Linked DNA regions of Yarrowia lipolytica. The protein of the gene in region 2 interacts with the protein of the main gene of each other region in a pairwise test. Links are inferred from orthologs where the notes say so. Each region holds a gene or a part of one and is shown on either strand. Other genes may lie near its edges.

What was found.
Region 1: the proteins of YALI1_D23785g (region 2) and YALI1_F39176g interact in binary tests that used the Saccharomyces cerevisiae proteins (3 or more experiments, as listed by UniProt). The link is inferred for Yarrowia lipolytica from reciprocal best matches to the Saccharomyces cerevisiae genes UPS2 and MDM35.

Annotation. Positions count from the first base shown.
Region 1 is NC_090775.1:3,914,292-3,921,358, reverse strand, and holds YALI1_F39176g (uncharacterized protein), read right to left. Parts: upstream 3,726-7,067; coding exon 3,579-3,725; intron 3,483-3,578; coding exon 3,375-3,482; downstream 1-3,374. Other genes in the region: YALI1_F39236g (uncharacterized protein), read left to right, coding at 1-864; YALI1_F39199g (uncharacterized protein), read left to right, coding at 1,377-2,060; YALI1_F39183g (uncharacterized protein), read right to left, coding at 2,368-2,502, 2,856-3,008; YALI1_F39164g (uncharacterized protein), read right to left, coding at 4,077-4,910; YALI1_F39159g (uncharacterized protein), read left to right, coding at 5,448-6,572; YALI1_F39128g (uncharacterized protein), read right to left, coding at 6,884-7,067. UniProt on the Saccharomyces cerevisiae protein: Involved in mitochondrial distribution and morphology. Mediates the import of UPS1, UPS2 and UPS3, 3 atypical mitochondrial intermembrane space (IMS) proteins lacking the two major IMS-targeting signals, into the intermembrane space.
Region 2 is NC_090773.1:2,374,516-2,381,749, forward strand, and holds YALI1_D23785g (uncharacterized protein), read left to right. Parts: upstream 1-3,943; coding exon 3,944-4,498; downstream 4,499-7,234. Other genes in the region: YALI1_D23753g (uncharacterized protein), read right to left, coding at 1-827; YALI1_D23845t (uncharacterized protein), read right to left, coding at 6,075-7,234. UniProt on the Saccharomyces cerevisiae protein: Required for mitochondrial cristae morphogenesis and MGM1-processing. Controls the stability of mitochondrial phosphatidylethanolamine (PE). With UPS1, controls the level of cardiolipin in mitochondria.

The sequences.
Region 1 (7,067 bases), on a different chromosome or scaffold from region 2:
TGCATGGGCGAGCGAACCGAGGGCCGTCAGCACGAGTACCGACTCGGAATCGACACCAGCACCTTCCTGGAGACCGTGCAGCGAATCCGAGCCGGAAAGCCTCCCCAGGAGCGGTTCCTGGACGTTGAGATCGCCTCTGTGTCCATGATCCAGGCTCGAATCCGAGGCGTGTCTCCCGAGTGGATTGCTGCCGTTGAGCAGGACAACTCGCAGCGACACCAGCTGTTTGAGGTCATTCGAACCGCTACACCCATCAATGGCAACTCCCAGGCGCTCAAAGAGGGAGACATTCTGCTGTCCATCAACGGCAAGCTGCTGACGACCCTGACAACGCTCAGCGAGGCCGGCGACAAGGAGCAGGTGACCATCAAGCTGGTGCGAAACAAAAAGGAGGAGGAGATCCAGGCTCCCACCACGGATTCGGCTTTCGAGACCTCTCAGGCCGTCTTCTGGTGCGGAGCTGTTCTGCAGACCCCCCACCATGCTGTTCGTCAGCAAATCAAAAAGATCCACTCGGGCGTCTACGTGTCCAGTCGAGCCCAGGGATCTCCCGCTTACCAGTACTTGATTGCGCCCACCAACTTCATCACTCACGTGAACGGCACCGCCACTCCTGATCTGGAGACGTTCCTGTCTGTGGTGACCAAGATCCCTGACAATACCTACGTCAAGTTGCGTATTGTCACGTTTGACAACGTGGCGTTTGCGTGTTCCATGAAGATGAACTACCACTACTTCCCCACGGCGGAGATCAAAAAGGAGGGCAATGAGTGGGTTGGATACAGTTATAAGGACGGTAAGCGAGTCAAGGAGAGCGATGAAAATGTCGAGGAGCAGGTGAACGAGGCTGAAAAGCAAGAGTAAATAGAGACCCAAAAATGTATAGATTGCATGTTTAGTTACAGAGGTGTTATTGTTTGTAGTCTATGGCACGGGTACAAGTACAGTACTGTACGTTATGTAGTGTGGAGTGAGGCTGTAGTAATCGTAGTATGACATGTTGTGCTACTTGTAGAACAATACACTACCGCGCAATTAAGTGCTCGGACTCATCACCGATCTTATCATCTTGCCAACGACAACTGGTCACACGACTTTTCACTCCATGTATTCAGGCACCCCACATTCTCCACCTTGAGGATTACCCCAATATATTTATTATATGGAGAGCTAAAAGTACACAAGACATGACCCAACAAGACCTGGTGGCAAAAGCCATAATCAAGTGGAACATAGATTAACAGTGATGCTTGTCATGTGGAGACGCAGACGTGAGTGTGTGTGTCACCTACAGTAGATTTGTTGAGAAATATCCACTGTTATTGCAGTATCGCGCCTGGTACGAGTACTTGTTGAAGCTATCTGTAAGACCCTACATGGACCCTACATACCCTATCGTATCGTACATTTCCATATCAGCGCTTACAGTTACCCCAGAATGTTTATTACACGCTACTGGTCGCCACAAAGAGCAAATGTGGAAGAATAACACGCCAGAGGTTGCACTGGCACGTAGCAAGCAGGAGGGGAACTCGCAAGCTGCATCTACCCCTTATAATTATGTTGCAATAGTCTTGTTTTGCCCCATGACGTTCGTGGACCCGAGGTCACGTGCACTCAACAACCTTACTGGTCCTGTCTTTGTTGCATGGCGACGAAAGTCTCTGAAAGGCTGTAAGGCTATATATAATCAAAAAAGCGCCCCTGGGTCCGCTGTAATCAGAAAACACTCTCAAGAAACACAAATGCTCGATATCTGTGACGCCGACAAACAACAATTAGTGACAAGCGTGATTGAACAGTGCAACCGCGAGTCCAACGCCTCAGCATTTGGAGATCGACTCCATTATTGGTTGACTGGCGAGGAGCTCAAGCCTTTTGTGCCTGAAAAAAATGTCGGTCTTTTGGCCAACGAGCCCTCTTCAGATCGACAAGAGTATGCTCCTCGTGAGTCTGCCATTGAGTGGGACTCTGGTCTGTCCAGCCTTAACCCTGTGGATGCTGTTGAAATGATGGGTTATGGTGTCTATTTTATTGGTTGGTTGTTGCTTGGCCAGTAACCCCCCTCTGCTACAATTGTAGTATGATACTTACGACATTCATATCGCTGGTACTTTCGCAGTACCGCGTCTCCACCACGGCCTGAGTACAAGTGCTGTACCTACCCACGGCCTAGCTGTCCCATCAAAACCGTGATCTAAACCCCGCGCGCCCTATTTATTATTTGCAGAGTATGCAATGATTACATCTTATACAGAAAAATACATCAATTAATTTAAACAGCTCGGTACGTGCACTACGAACTTGTATCCGTCTGTACTGTACAGACTTCTCGTGCATCCAAGAGGGTTCTAATTGCTATATACATTAAGGGGATTGTTTGAAAGGCACGTACTTCTTGACATGCTTCTTCTGGAAACCGGTGAGCTCGGTCATACCGGTCTTCTTTCGCAGCAGAGCAGCGGACCATCCAGTGTTTCCGTGCTTTCGTCCGGTTTTTCCCTGAGTTAGTGGCGATCTGGAAGTTGTCATTGTTGATGTGTTCAGCTACAAGAGGTTATGAGTGTCTTGCTTGATCTGAGTGCCTGGTAAGCAACAAAAAAAACAAAAAAAACGCAGTGTGCGTAATCAGCCTGGTTGTGACAGGTAGTTCCGTGTCTGGTATCTCTTCTAGCTGCTGAAACAGTTAATCATCTCAGCTTGAAAGCTGTGTAACATAAGGCCATGATCAGATCAGAGGCAAAACTTTTCCGGCACTGAAATATCAGCTATCCACTCTATCATGGCTTGATCGGAGTCGCTCCCAGCATTCCTTTTTCCTTATTTCCCCTCCTCTCCATCCTTGTGGCACTCACTCTGGTGATCTTTCCACTACCACAGATCTTGATTCGGTTGGCAACGGCCTTTTTGGTCTTGACATGGGCGGACTTGCAAGTGTTTCGCACAAACATCTGCGCCACGTTGTTCATGGCCACAGTCGGCCGTAGCGACTGAATCAGAGACAGCATTTTTGTATGGTCGTGTATGTGTGGTGATAGAGTCTGATATTCCAACCGACGATTTTGCAAAACCTTGTTTGTCACGTGGCGAGGTTTTCTTGCAGTGACTTACACAGGTGTGTTTGGGGTACTGGAAGGTGGCCGATGACTTCTTGCGGCGAGAGGACTTTTTATAAATCGTTAGAAAGTGTTTAGATTTCCCTATAAAATCTGTCGAACTTCATCCTTTTACTAGATTTTAAAAAAATTCACCCGTAACTCACAGACACCCTTGCACACTTACAGAGAAAAGCCTGACTAACACAGACTTGATACAAGTGAGAAACTCGTTTTTTCACATCTTGGCCAGCAGAATCGTTCAATTAATATATACATTTACTTCTTCTTTTCATCCTCCTCCACGAGCTTGCCGCCGTTCTCAAACGGAGCCTGCTTTCGAGCCTCGTCAATCATCTTTCCAACACCCTTCTTGGCAAGAGCGGCCTGGGTTAGTAAATACTGTGAGTGGTACGCCGGGTACCGATCTCCTGAATCGATCCTAATTCATCTCCAGGCTGCCCTCTCCCTCTCCCTACTCACCTTGACGCAATCCTCGTACTCGTGCCACAGATCGGCACACTCGTTCTCCATGGACTCTCCCTTGAGGAACTTCTCCGAGTACCAGTTGTTGAAGCAGTTGTCGTACTCCTTCTTGGCTTTAGTGCATTCCGGGGCAAAGGAGTTCATTGTGACGGTCGAGTGTAAAGTCGAAAATCATGCTTCACCGAGATGCCTGTATGCAACCCAAAATGATTATGTAAGCGAGTATACCTGATTCGGCCATGAGCTGAACGGGAACGACCATCCACACAACCCTAGGCAACCAACCATAGTATTCAGATATATTAGTCTGTCTGTCTTACTCATTAATAATAAAAATTCGTTTCACATTATCGGCGGAAGGCACTCAAAGCCACCACAATCCACATTCTTCTTCTTTTTCCCGCCCAAGCTGCTATCCTGGTTGTCGCAAGAGACGGAGCTCATCACGGTAGCTACCAAACTATTGTTTCAACCATGCCGTTTTCATCACTCAGTTTACAAAAACACCTTGCTGGTGACAGCATTGGCAGCTCGTGTACTTTCCGTTATCTTTCGCATCTCTCCCTCTCGCAGAACCAGTCCCATGAGTAGGATGACCTCGGAAAGATGAGTGCCACCATTGAAAATGCTAAACTCGCCAACCCGGCGCTGCTTCTTCAGTCTGCCCTCAGTCAGATAACTGTAGGCTCCTATGCAAGGACCACAGAGGGTGTCTGAGTCTGGCAGCACATTACCCTGTCTCTCAGTATGTTCGGTGTCAACAAGCCGCAGATGAAAGAATCCAGAGCCATAAGTGTTGGCAATGCCCGTCGTTCCGTACCATTGCAACTGCACGCCTTCGTAAGAAGCTGTAGTCACCCGCCTGGTTCCATGGGTAACCATGGTGATGTTGTCCCGCTCGCTGTCCACAAAGGTGAGAATGTACTCGATACGGTCGTTGTCAAGTACCTTTTGTGTCACACTGCACAGAAGCGACTTGTAGCACTCGGTTCCAGACATTGACACAGCCTCGCTACCTGGGCTCTGCTTATCGTCCAGCCGGTAAATCTCCATGTAGGTCTTGCCGAAGAAATGCGTGGACACAGACAGAATGGGTTTTTTGAGGCCATCGTCAAAAACGGTCACTCCATGTCGAAACATGGCCGAGTATATGCTGTAGACATCCCGTTCTCGCGGGTCGCCTTCAGGGGTTTCAAACAGCGTGGAGACCGCGGACTTGTTGTCGTCAAAGAGCGTTTCGTGCGAGGAGCGGGTGTCGGTGCGCTCCAGTGGTGCTCCAGCCTCGCCCGCTGCGCTGTTTTTCAGTGCCTTTTTCAATAGTCGCTGCATTATAGAGCTTGGTCAGTTTATTTTTTGCGCCTGAAAAACGCACTTGAAATTTTAGGAACTAAACGTTAGTGCATGACTGCTGCACTTGGCGCGTGACCCAAATGGCTATTCAGGTTCTGGGCAAGTTCTGGGCTACCCCAACCCCGACTTCTCAAAAGGGTATGACAGAAGTCTCAGAATAACATTTCAAAATACAACCACAACATTGCATGGGAAGGAGAATAATAATCTAAGACCCAGGTGATGGATTCCTGCAGGATGCGATGCTGCAGGTCAAGTGCCAGACCTGCTATATGATATAATGCCTCTTGAGCTCTCTCTCCCATACTACATACGAGTCTCACCTATTCTTCTCTCAACACCTGCCAGGGTGGTTTATACGACTTGGTTTTAACACCCAGCGATTCAAGGTAGGGGAACCAACTCTGTTCATCGCATTTGAAACCTAAAGGCGCGTTTCGCGCTCTGAATCCAAAACAGTGAGAGTGTCAATCATCACAAGCAGATTGAAGAGACGAGACGTAAACCCCAACCAAGATGCCATCACGACCAATGGCCCAAACCGTGGGAGCCGCCCTCGTTATTGGCGCCGACGACACGTCGCACTACGAAATGACCCGTGATGAGTCCTTTGTCATGTCGGAACAGCGCCGAAGAGCTTTCATGAGAGCGGTGCCAAACTACTCGTCCTCCACGCTCAACACCGTCGCCAGCGAGAGCTATTGCATCCCCGAAGACGTTTTGCATGCCGCCGGGGGCACGTCGACTCCAGAGAAGAAGCTGAACCAGCCCAGACAGCCTTCTGGAAGCCCTGTCCCTTTCAACACACATCATCAGACCACGACAACAACACATGCCCAACAACGGGCTGCACCAACTACACAGCATAACAAGAGTTTACAGAACTCCTCCTCCACATCTACACTTCGAGACTCAGACCTGGACCGCTTCGAGGACGCCGAGGAAGACGGAGATGTGTCTCTAGACTCGCCAGACACCTCAGCCGAGGTGTGCGTTGCCACAGTAGCTAGACTGGCTCCACCTAGTACAGGCACCCGGGGCATTTTCCACAAGAATGCAGGCATAGGACATGGTCTCGGTCACCGGCCACAACAGCCCACGGTGGCTCCTCGACCACAGACGCACGACCCACGGGCAAAGGTGAAACCCAACAACAACTCGGGGCCCTCCGGAGTATATGCTCGTATCAAGATGAAGGAGGTGGAGATCGAGCGACAGTTTGACGCTTTGGTAAGACAGACGGTCAAGAGCAAGAAGGAAGGACATGGAGGCATTGCAGCTGAGAAGCCACGAGCCGCCTCGGACAGTGCATCGATTAGCTCAAGGGAGTCGCACGCATCACGGGCAGACCGAGTGGCCCAGCTGCAACAGCAGTCGGACAAGCTGTTTGAGTTGTCACGTGCAATCACAGTGGAGATTGATCTCATCAAGAAGATGGGGCCGACCACGACATACAAAAACTTCTCTGCCAACACTGGAGGCAGGTCGACGAATCTGACCCAGAATCTGGCTGACCTGGAAACCAAGAAGCAGGCCGTGGAACGAGAACTGTACCAAGTCGGCCTGCTGTTGTCTCGTCAGTATATTAAGATGAGAGAGGAGGGTGCCAGTGAATACTGGGTTAGAAGTGTTTCCAAGTAGGAATAAAGCACAACATAATTTAATAACGGATATTAATTGAGGATACGAAGAATTGGACCGGACCTACCCATGTACAGTAGCGTACCAATACAAATATAGAATAGCTTAGAATATACTGTATATACATACATACTGTACCACAAGTTTTTACTACTGGTACAAGTGACTATAACACAACTCACTTACAGAACCAACACCAGCATATATCTATGTACAGTATGTGTACTGTAGTCTTGAAAACACACCGCTTACTTGTAGCAGACACCCGCTATTTCAATACCATGTAATCTGTCATTTCCATTCTATATCATCTATTTTCGCTTCTTGAACTTGAGGGGATCGCCGCCCTTCTTCTTCTTGGTATACTTCTTGTGGATTTTGTTATCATCCTTTCTGAATGGCACAAACACATTAGGATCCAGCTTACCCTTTCGTCCCAACAAGTAGTCGGGCACCCGCTTCATGTGTGCTTGGACCTTGGATGTGTGGAGCTCC
Region 2 (7,234 bases):
TCAAACGACTTCTTCCACAACATGATGGCTTGTTGAACGTCCAGAGCCTCCGCTTTGATTTTGGCCACCGCGAGACTGAGTAGCTCGGGCAAGTCGTACATTTGAGCCATGACGAGAAGATTAGCTGCATCGCCGAAACCGAATTCCAGAGGCTGCCCGTAGAGATATCGCACGGCGACCTCGATGGTCGATGCTGGAAAGGGCAGATCCAGGGAGTTCTCCGTCGCCTCCATCATGTTCGAGTCTATGGTGGCCGAGAAGAACGGCCACAGCGGTTGCAGCACCGTTTTATGGACCTCTATTTTCTGTCCATCCTCACTAGTCAAATGAAAGTCTCCAGGAGTTCCGTCTCTGATTTTGGCCAATCCAGTCTTGTGCACGCTGGTGAGATGTATCTCGTCGGGGTTGTTATCCTTGATGAAAGATGCCAACTTTGGAATATCTTCGTTTTCAAGGGTCTGGAAAACCACCACCGTCCAGCTGTTGTCCAAGAGACAGACTCCTTGCCATAGACGAGACCTCAGAAAGAAAACGTGAGGGTTGACGGCCATGGACAAGACCTTGGGCGGCGAGCTGGCGGAAATGGGCGGTTCTGCGTGGAAACACTTGTCCAAACTGGTATGAAGTAGCCCCAGCTTATTGTCGTAGAACTTCAGATACACCGCTCTGGAGGCGTTTCCGTCGGCCTTGAGGGCGTGCGCAAAGTAGAAGCTTCCCATCTCTTGTAGGGTGCAAGAGGAGTAGAGGAAGGCGGTTTCTCTGACCAGCTGCTCCTCAGAGCACGCCTTGGGAAGCCCAAAAGTGTATGGCTTGTTTGGTGCTGCCATGGCGGTTAGATTACTAAGCGAAAGTGAGTGTGGCTGTCACTACGAGCACTGTATGGACTGTGACAGTGTCTGGTGGAATGACGATGAAGATGCAGGTCGTATTGATATCGTGCAGTGGTCAGCCTTATCGCAGCCTCGCAACAAGTTTAATTTCGAGTTTAATAATGGTGATGTTATCGGGAAGTGTCAATGTCGGAAACGTCATTGTCGGAAACGTGATTGTCGGTGTCATTGTCGGAAACGTCATTGTCGGTGCCATTGTCGATATGTTCATTTATTTACCAAAAATATGCGAAATTTCTCCTGGACTTGTTGGATACTTGTGTATCGTAGGGTCGCACTCAGATATGAGACACGGCTGAGTATTCTTTAATTCGAGTCTGTAGTTGAAGAGTCTCAGTTCGTTCTCGTCTCAGCTCGTTTCTCGTCTCAGTTCGTTTCTCTTCTGCTGAACTCGTACCGTACCACGAGCATTCCGCTCTGGATAGAACCTCCTCAACTAGCTATCATGGCTAATGGCTACAATACATACTCTCTAGAAGTCTCTGCGACATGTCCCTGCCATGTCTCTTGTGTCGCTTCGATCGCCATGGACGACTCCATGGACGTGTTCGGGAAATGGCGGCTGGCTTGCTCAAGATGCTGTTCAGTGGCTGGATCTGTTGCGTCCGAAAAGTCCAACAGCTGGTGACACTGGCTCAATGAAGTGCGATCTCGGCCCGCAGTTTCAGACTCTCGCCCATCAGATGCTGTTTGACAACGGAAGATGCTGTTTGACAACGGAATGAGTGATGCAGGAGGTGACCCGAGCTCCCTCAGTTGGAGGTTCCTCCAGAGGACTCTCGTTTGAGGGAGCCCTCCGGAGGAACCTCGAGCTCGTGCACCAAAAGTACGCGAAACTGGAGATCGGTGGGAAGGGTACAGTACCGTAAAAGTAGTACATACTGTATCAATGTATTCAGGTACAGTACAGTGGGTACTTGAAGCCAGTCTCAGGAGAGTTCCAATACTGCTTCGCTCGACCTCGAACTGTTATTGAGATACCAGCGAGTCCAATCAGTCAAGCGAGTCAAATGATCCAACGAGCCCTCCAGTCCAATCAGTCCGATCGGTTTGCTCCGCATTCCACGGTTCTAATTACTTTGCTCAATTGCAGACTCAGATGTCTGCCTTCTGCAGACTCAGACATCTGCCTTGAGATAGACAAGTATTCTTTACCGTACCGGCCACCGTCTCAATTATTGAGACTGCCCGATAATTGTATTTCGGGCTATCGCCAACTCTGTTGCGCAATACTGCTTGCTCGATCTCTTGTGTATGTCTACGTCTAGTGTCGATCATGACGTAATGCTGCGTCTGGGCCGTGGGCGTCAGAAAAGTGTGGAATCCGAACACTAGAGCGAAGCAAGCGATCCATTGAGTTTGACATCGGACACAAGAGTTGATTTGCAATTCAATTCCATTTTGAATGTACAAATAGTAAGAGAAGTTGATGCCTTGTGAGGGTATTTATACTTGTATTACGATTGATACGATTGGTCCTATTGGTACCATAGTGGATGGATTAAAAAGAGCCCCAAGCTGAGCTGTCTTCTAACAATCGAGGAGAATCCATTGGTGTAGTTTTCATGTTTGTATCTTGCTTGTGTAATGTCCTAGGTCCAGCCCTCTCCATGTTTTGGTGATTTATGTATCATAATACGTCCGACGGAGACGTCTAGAGTATGGCAGAGTATGACAGAGTATGGAAGGTGATGGTGGAGTTGAGAAAAGGTTGAAACAATAGTTGGTCGCAACTTCAGAACATTAGTCAGCAGTATAGCACACCATGTGACGGCTCAGCCTCTGTCGATCGAAGCAATCACACTTTATCCACGCAAAGAAGAACCGTATTGGAGCCGGGAGTTTTGGGAGGGCTGGATGGGATGGAGGCGGGAGGCGGGAGACGTTGAAACGAATGAGAGCTGAGACAGGGGGGTATTTTGAAGAGGTTGTTCAGTCTGGGGCGTGGGTAAAAAAGGTAGCTATATTGAGGCGGTTCTGGATGGATTAACCGGGAGAAAAGGGTATCTACGGGTAGTTTCAGGGTGGGCAGATAGATTTTTGAACTCCCCAGTCACCATTTTCTCACAAAATCTGTTGTTTTGAGCTCTTTCAGGGACTGAGGTGCACTTTGTGGTGTTCAAATACGCATCACTATGTACAATGCACTTGGTCACATCTGGAAACCATCATCCGCCTATTTGTCTCATAGTTTCGCGGAGCCAGAAACGGCTCCGTTAGACCCACAGTCTGGACTATAACTGTTCCACAATACGTGACCCAGCACGTATGGTTGAGGGGTTTACGATAGTACAACGGTAGAAAATAAACACAAACCTAGGCGACCGTTGGCCAGCTTGGTGAGGCTGAAAGCAAATGAATTGAGTTGGGGGCGGGCAGTCTACAAGTAGGGAGAAGAAGGGAATGACGGTCTTCTTCGCGGTTCACTACGTTCTGTTCAGGGGAGTACCGAGTTCCGATTGAGAGTGTGCCGAGGGCCATTCTTTTATGACTGTATTACGGCGGATCGAACTTGGGTCGAACGTCGGAACAATCCGAAGCTGTACCGACTTTTTGCTCGTGACTATTGTCTCCTCCGGCCAGTCTCAGATTCATCACTTGACTCACTCCGCCAGTCACATTCCGCCCGATAACCTCTACGGGTGCATCTAGTCTGCACCGAATGACTATTATCAGTGTGGGCCGAGGTTGGGAGCAACAGAGATAAGAGGCGGCCATTTTGCGGCTACCCGGCCGATTTTCGGCGGGAAAATTCGAAAATCGCAAACTTGATCCCAGGTGAGTTCTTTCCGAGGTCCAAAATCGCCACAATATACCCCACCGCGCCGCCTGGGACGCCGTCTCGATAAACCCGGGTAAGAGGATGCAGAGTACTGGCAAACTCTTTTTTATATTGCCTTTTTTTTTTTTTTTCGCCCACTATTAAAGTTGTCTCAAAATCTCTTCACTTTAAGCTTCGGCACTTTTCTCCCAGTATATAGAGCGGAGCTGCCCCGGCCTACAAACGGTCACCACCACCGTCACAGCAAAAGACACTCTAGAAAGCTCATAAAATGAAATTCTTCGACTCACGACACTACTTCAACTACTCGTGGGAACAGGTGTCCATCGCCAACTGGAAAAAGTACCCCAACGAGGTGTCCACCCATGTGATTGCGGTGGATGTTCTGCGTCGAGAAGTGGACCCCAAGTCCGGCGTGCTTCGAACCGAGCGACTCATCACCTGCAAACAGTCCATCCCCAAGTGGCTTCTTGCGCTGGTAGGAGGCCAGGAGGTGTCGTACGTCCGAGAGGTCTCCGAGGTCGACCCCAAGGCACGAACCGTTGTCATGCGATCCACCAACATGACCATGAATAACCTGCTGCTGGTGTTCGAGACCTGCACCTACTCGCCCGACCCCGAGAACCCCGCCACAAAGACCGTGTTTGACCAGGAGGCCCAGATTACCGCCTTTGCCTCCTGGAAGCGAATCTGCAACAAGATTGAGGACTGGACCGTGGAGCGATTTGGCCAGAACGCCATCAAGGGCAAGGCCGGCTTCGAGGGCGTCCTGCAGAAGGTGGCCAACTCGGACGTGTTCGCCCGAGAGTCCGTCTCCCTGTCTTAAGTGTCTGTGATCTCCTCCGTCGTCTCTTTTTTTGCATATCCTCTCTGACGAGACAGCACCAGCAACCACCACTCAAGAACACAACAGCATAGCACCCCAAAAAAGCATTCCCGAACCGCTCCAATTGCGCAAGCTCGGCCTTTCTATAGATGCATGTACATACTAACGATTTTAACAATATTTGACGATTGTAGCTCTTGTTGTGTGGTAATTTTGACGCGTCCTAAATTGCCGTTTCTCGGTGGCTGATGCTCTTTTTTCTTTTCTTGTATATATTTTCCCCATTTTTCCATTTTTCCATTTTTCCATATATATTTTTTGCCAATTTAAACTTTACTGTTCACACGACCCGAGTCTCACTGCCCACGCGACCCTTCATCTAACTCGGCCAATTGAAGTCGGATCGCGAAAAAAAATACATAGCTCAATTACCACACTCTCCCTGATCACAACCGTATCTTTAACTTGCCCATTGTCCCCGTTTTGGTGTACAAAACCCCTACCCCTCCCCCGCACCGGAACGTTTCGGGCACTAAATTTGGAGCCGGCTCATGCCGCACTGGAATCTCCGGAAAAAGTCCGGAAAAAGTGCTCGTGGCGAAAATTGCCCCAAAACGCGAGTTTTTTTTTATTTATTTTTTATTTTTTGGTGCGCAAAAGCCCCAGCCGCAAACCGCCACTGGGACCACATCCGACCGCGATACCAGATCGGAATCGGCTTCGCATTTGTCATGTCTGGTATCGGCACGTGCATAAGCAGCCCGAGTGTCGGAGATGTGATTTTTCGGGTTAGGGAAGACACGAGTAAGAAATATGGAGAAGGAAGTGGTTTTTTCACGTGTATATTATGGTAAAGGGACTTTAAAAAATGAAATTTGACCAAGAAAAACTGCGATAATGAGCTGCTTCTTTTTTTCCAGCAAGTTGTATGAGAAACCTTAGTTTGAACAGTGGATGAATCTTCTCGACTTTGAGTACCGCCGCTATAGTTGTATTTTGTGAGGGAAAACAGGGAAATAGGGTAGTTTAGACGATAAATACACATGTGAATGGTTTGTGTCTTCTTCTATTCGATTTTCGAGTTTTAGATGTTTTTGCAAATCTGAAGTTAGAGGGGGCATTTTCTCCAAGTACAGTTTTTTTTTCCATATACTTTTTTTTTTTTTTTTTCTGCATATACATTCATTTAATTATAACTTTGCCGTGAAAGAATAACCTTTGAAATGAATGTACGCTTACACGAATATTACTAATTAAACACGTTTAGTGTCATGGTCCAACTTGGCACGTACCTATTTCCAGTAAAAAAATCATAAAAAAACCTGGTTCAGTCCGTGTTGTATGTTGGTCCACATAGCTTCGCGTGTTTGTTCGTTCATCGGGAAAACGCCACTCCAGTCTCCAGTTCTCTAATCTCAATCCTTCCATTGCCCTCTTCATTTGCATTGCCTTTGAAAACTTCTCCTTGTGGTTCTTCTTCGTCATTGGTTTGGTTCTGCGTCCCCTGTGGTGACTACGCGCCCTGCTACGCTGTTCTCTCGGTGGCCTCGGCCGCCTTTTACGCTTGCTACTGTGTCTACTCTCGCTCATCGTGAAGTGCTGGCGGTTGTCCATCGTAGAAACACATCTGGGCTTCCTTCAGGAATTGAAGCAAACCCTGTTGGACATGTCCCAGGGTGGCGTCGTCCCCTGAGTACCGGAGGGATCTCTCCATCTTCCAGATCCCATAAGCCAATTCCCGCAGATATTTGCGTGTCTTGACTTGTTGATGTTTCCGGGGGGCGTCACTGTTCACATGCCCTGGGAAAGAGGGGAGTACTCCACATTTCGACTCGGTAAAGATCCAGTCCTTTAGAGAGTCCACTGACGGAATCTTCATCCTGGTCAACATGGAAAGAAGAACTTCGCACTTGCAGAAGATATGCTCGTGCAGATCCTGAATGATGGCCTTATCACAGAGCCCGCATCCTGGATTCTTCTTGGTGAAAACGTGGTCGTCAGGGTATCTCCATTTCACGAGCGGAAGTCGAGATATCCGCATGAGGTGAAGAACTTGTGCTTTGTTGGCGTCGGCGATGTAGTGTTTTCGAAGGTCATGCATTACCTCCTGCCAGACCATGTCGTCAGAGATGCCCCCGTAGTCGCTTCGTTGAGTCCACTTCTTCGGTCGTGCAAGTGTGTGTGGGAAGTTTGGCAAGTCGGGAGACGAGGTCTTGTGAAACATGAAGTTCTCTAGAGTAAGTGGTCCCATGCTCCACCGGAGGTGGTCGATTTCCGCTGTGGACACCATTCTGACCGGATGGTATCGTCTCGCGGCTGCGATGTCGACGTGTGCTTCCCGGAAAGATTCTGCTGCTCTCACGTTCACCTGGTTTCGTTCCCAGATTCTGTGATTAACTGTGTCTGTTGTAGAGGGCTCGTGATCTTCTCGAGGGTTGGCATGTTCCGCGGTGAGGGGCTTGTTGAGCTCGAAAGAAGCTCTGATTGCGTCTCGCATGGTGGGGGAGGCTGCGTAGCCCCAAGCTTGGCCTGTCGGAAAGCGGCAGTCGACGCGCTGGTGTGGCTTTTCCTGTGTGAGACTGTGAGTTCTGCTGTAGAACTGGAAGGTGCAGTCCCAAAGGGCCGGCGATGAGCCATGGAAGAACCTGTAAGCCCGAGCGGCCTTCAGGCACACCATGAAACGTCCCATGTCCCGCAGGTTCAGTCCTCCTCTGCCTACCGGAGTTTGGATGAAAC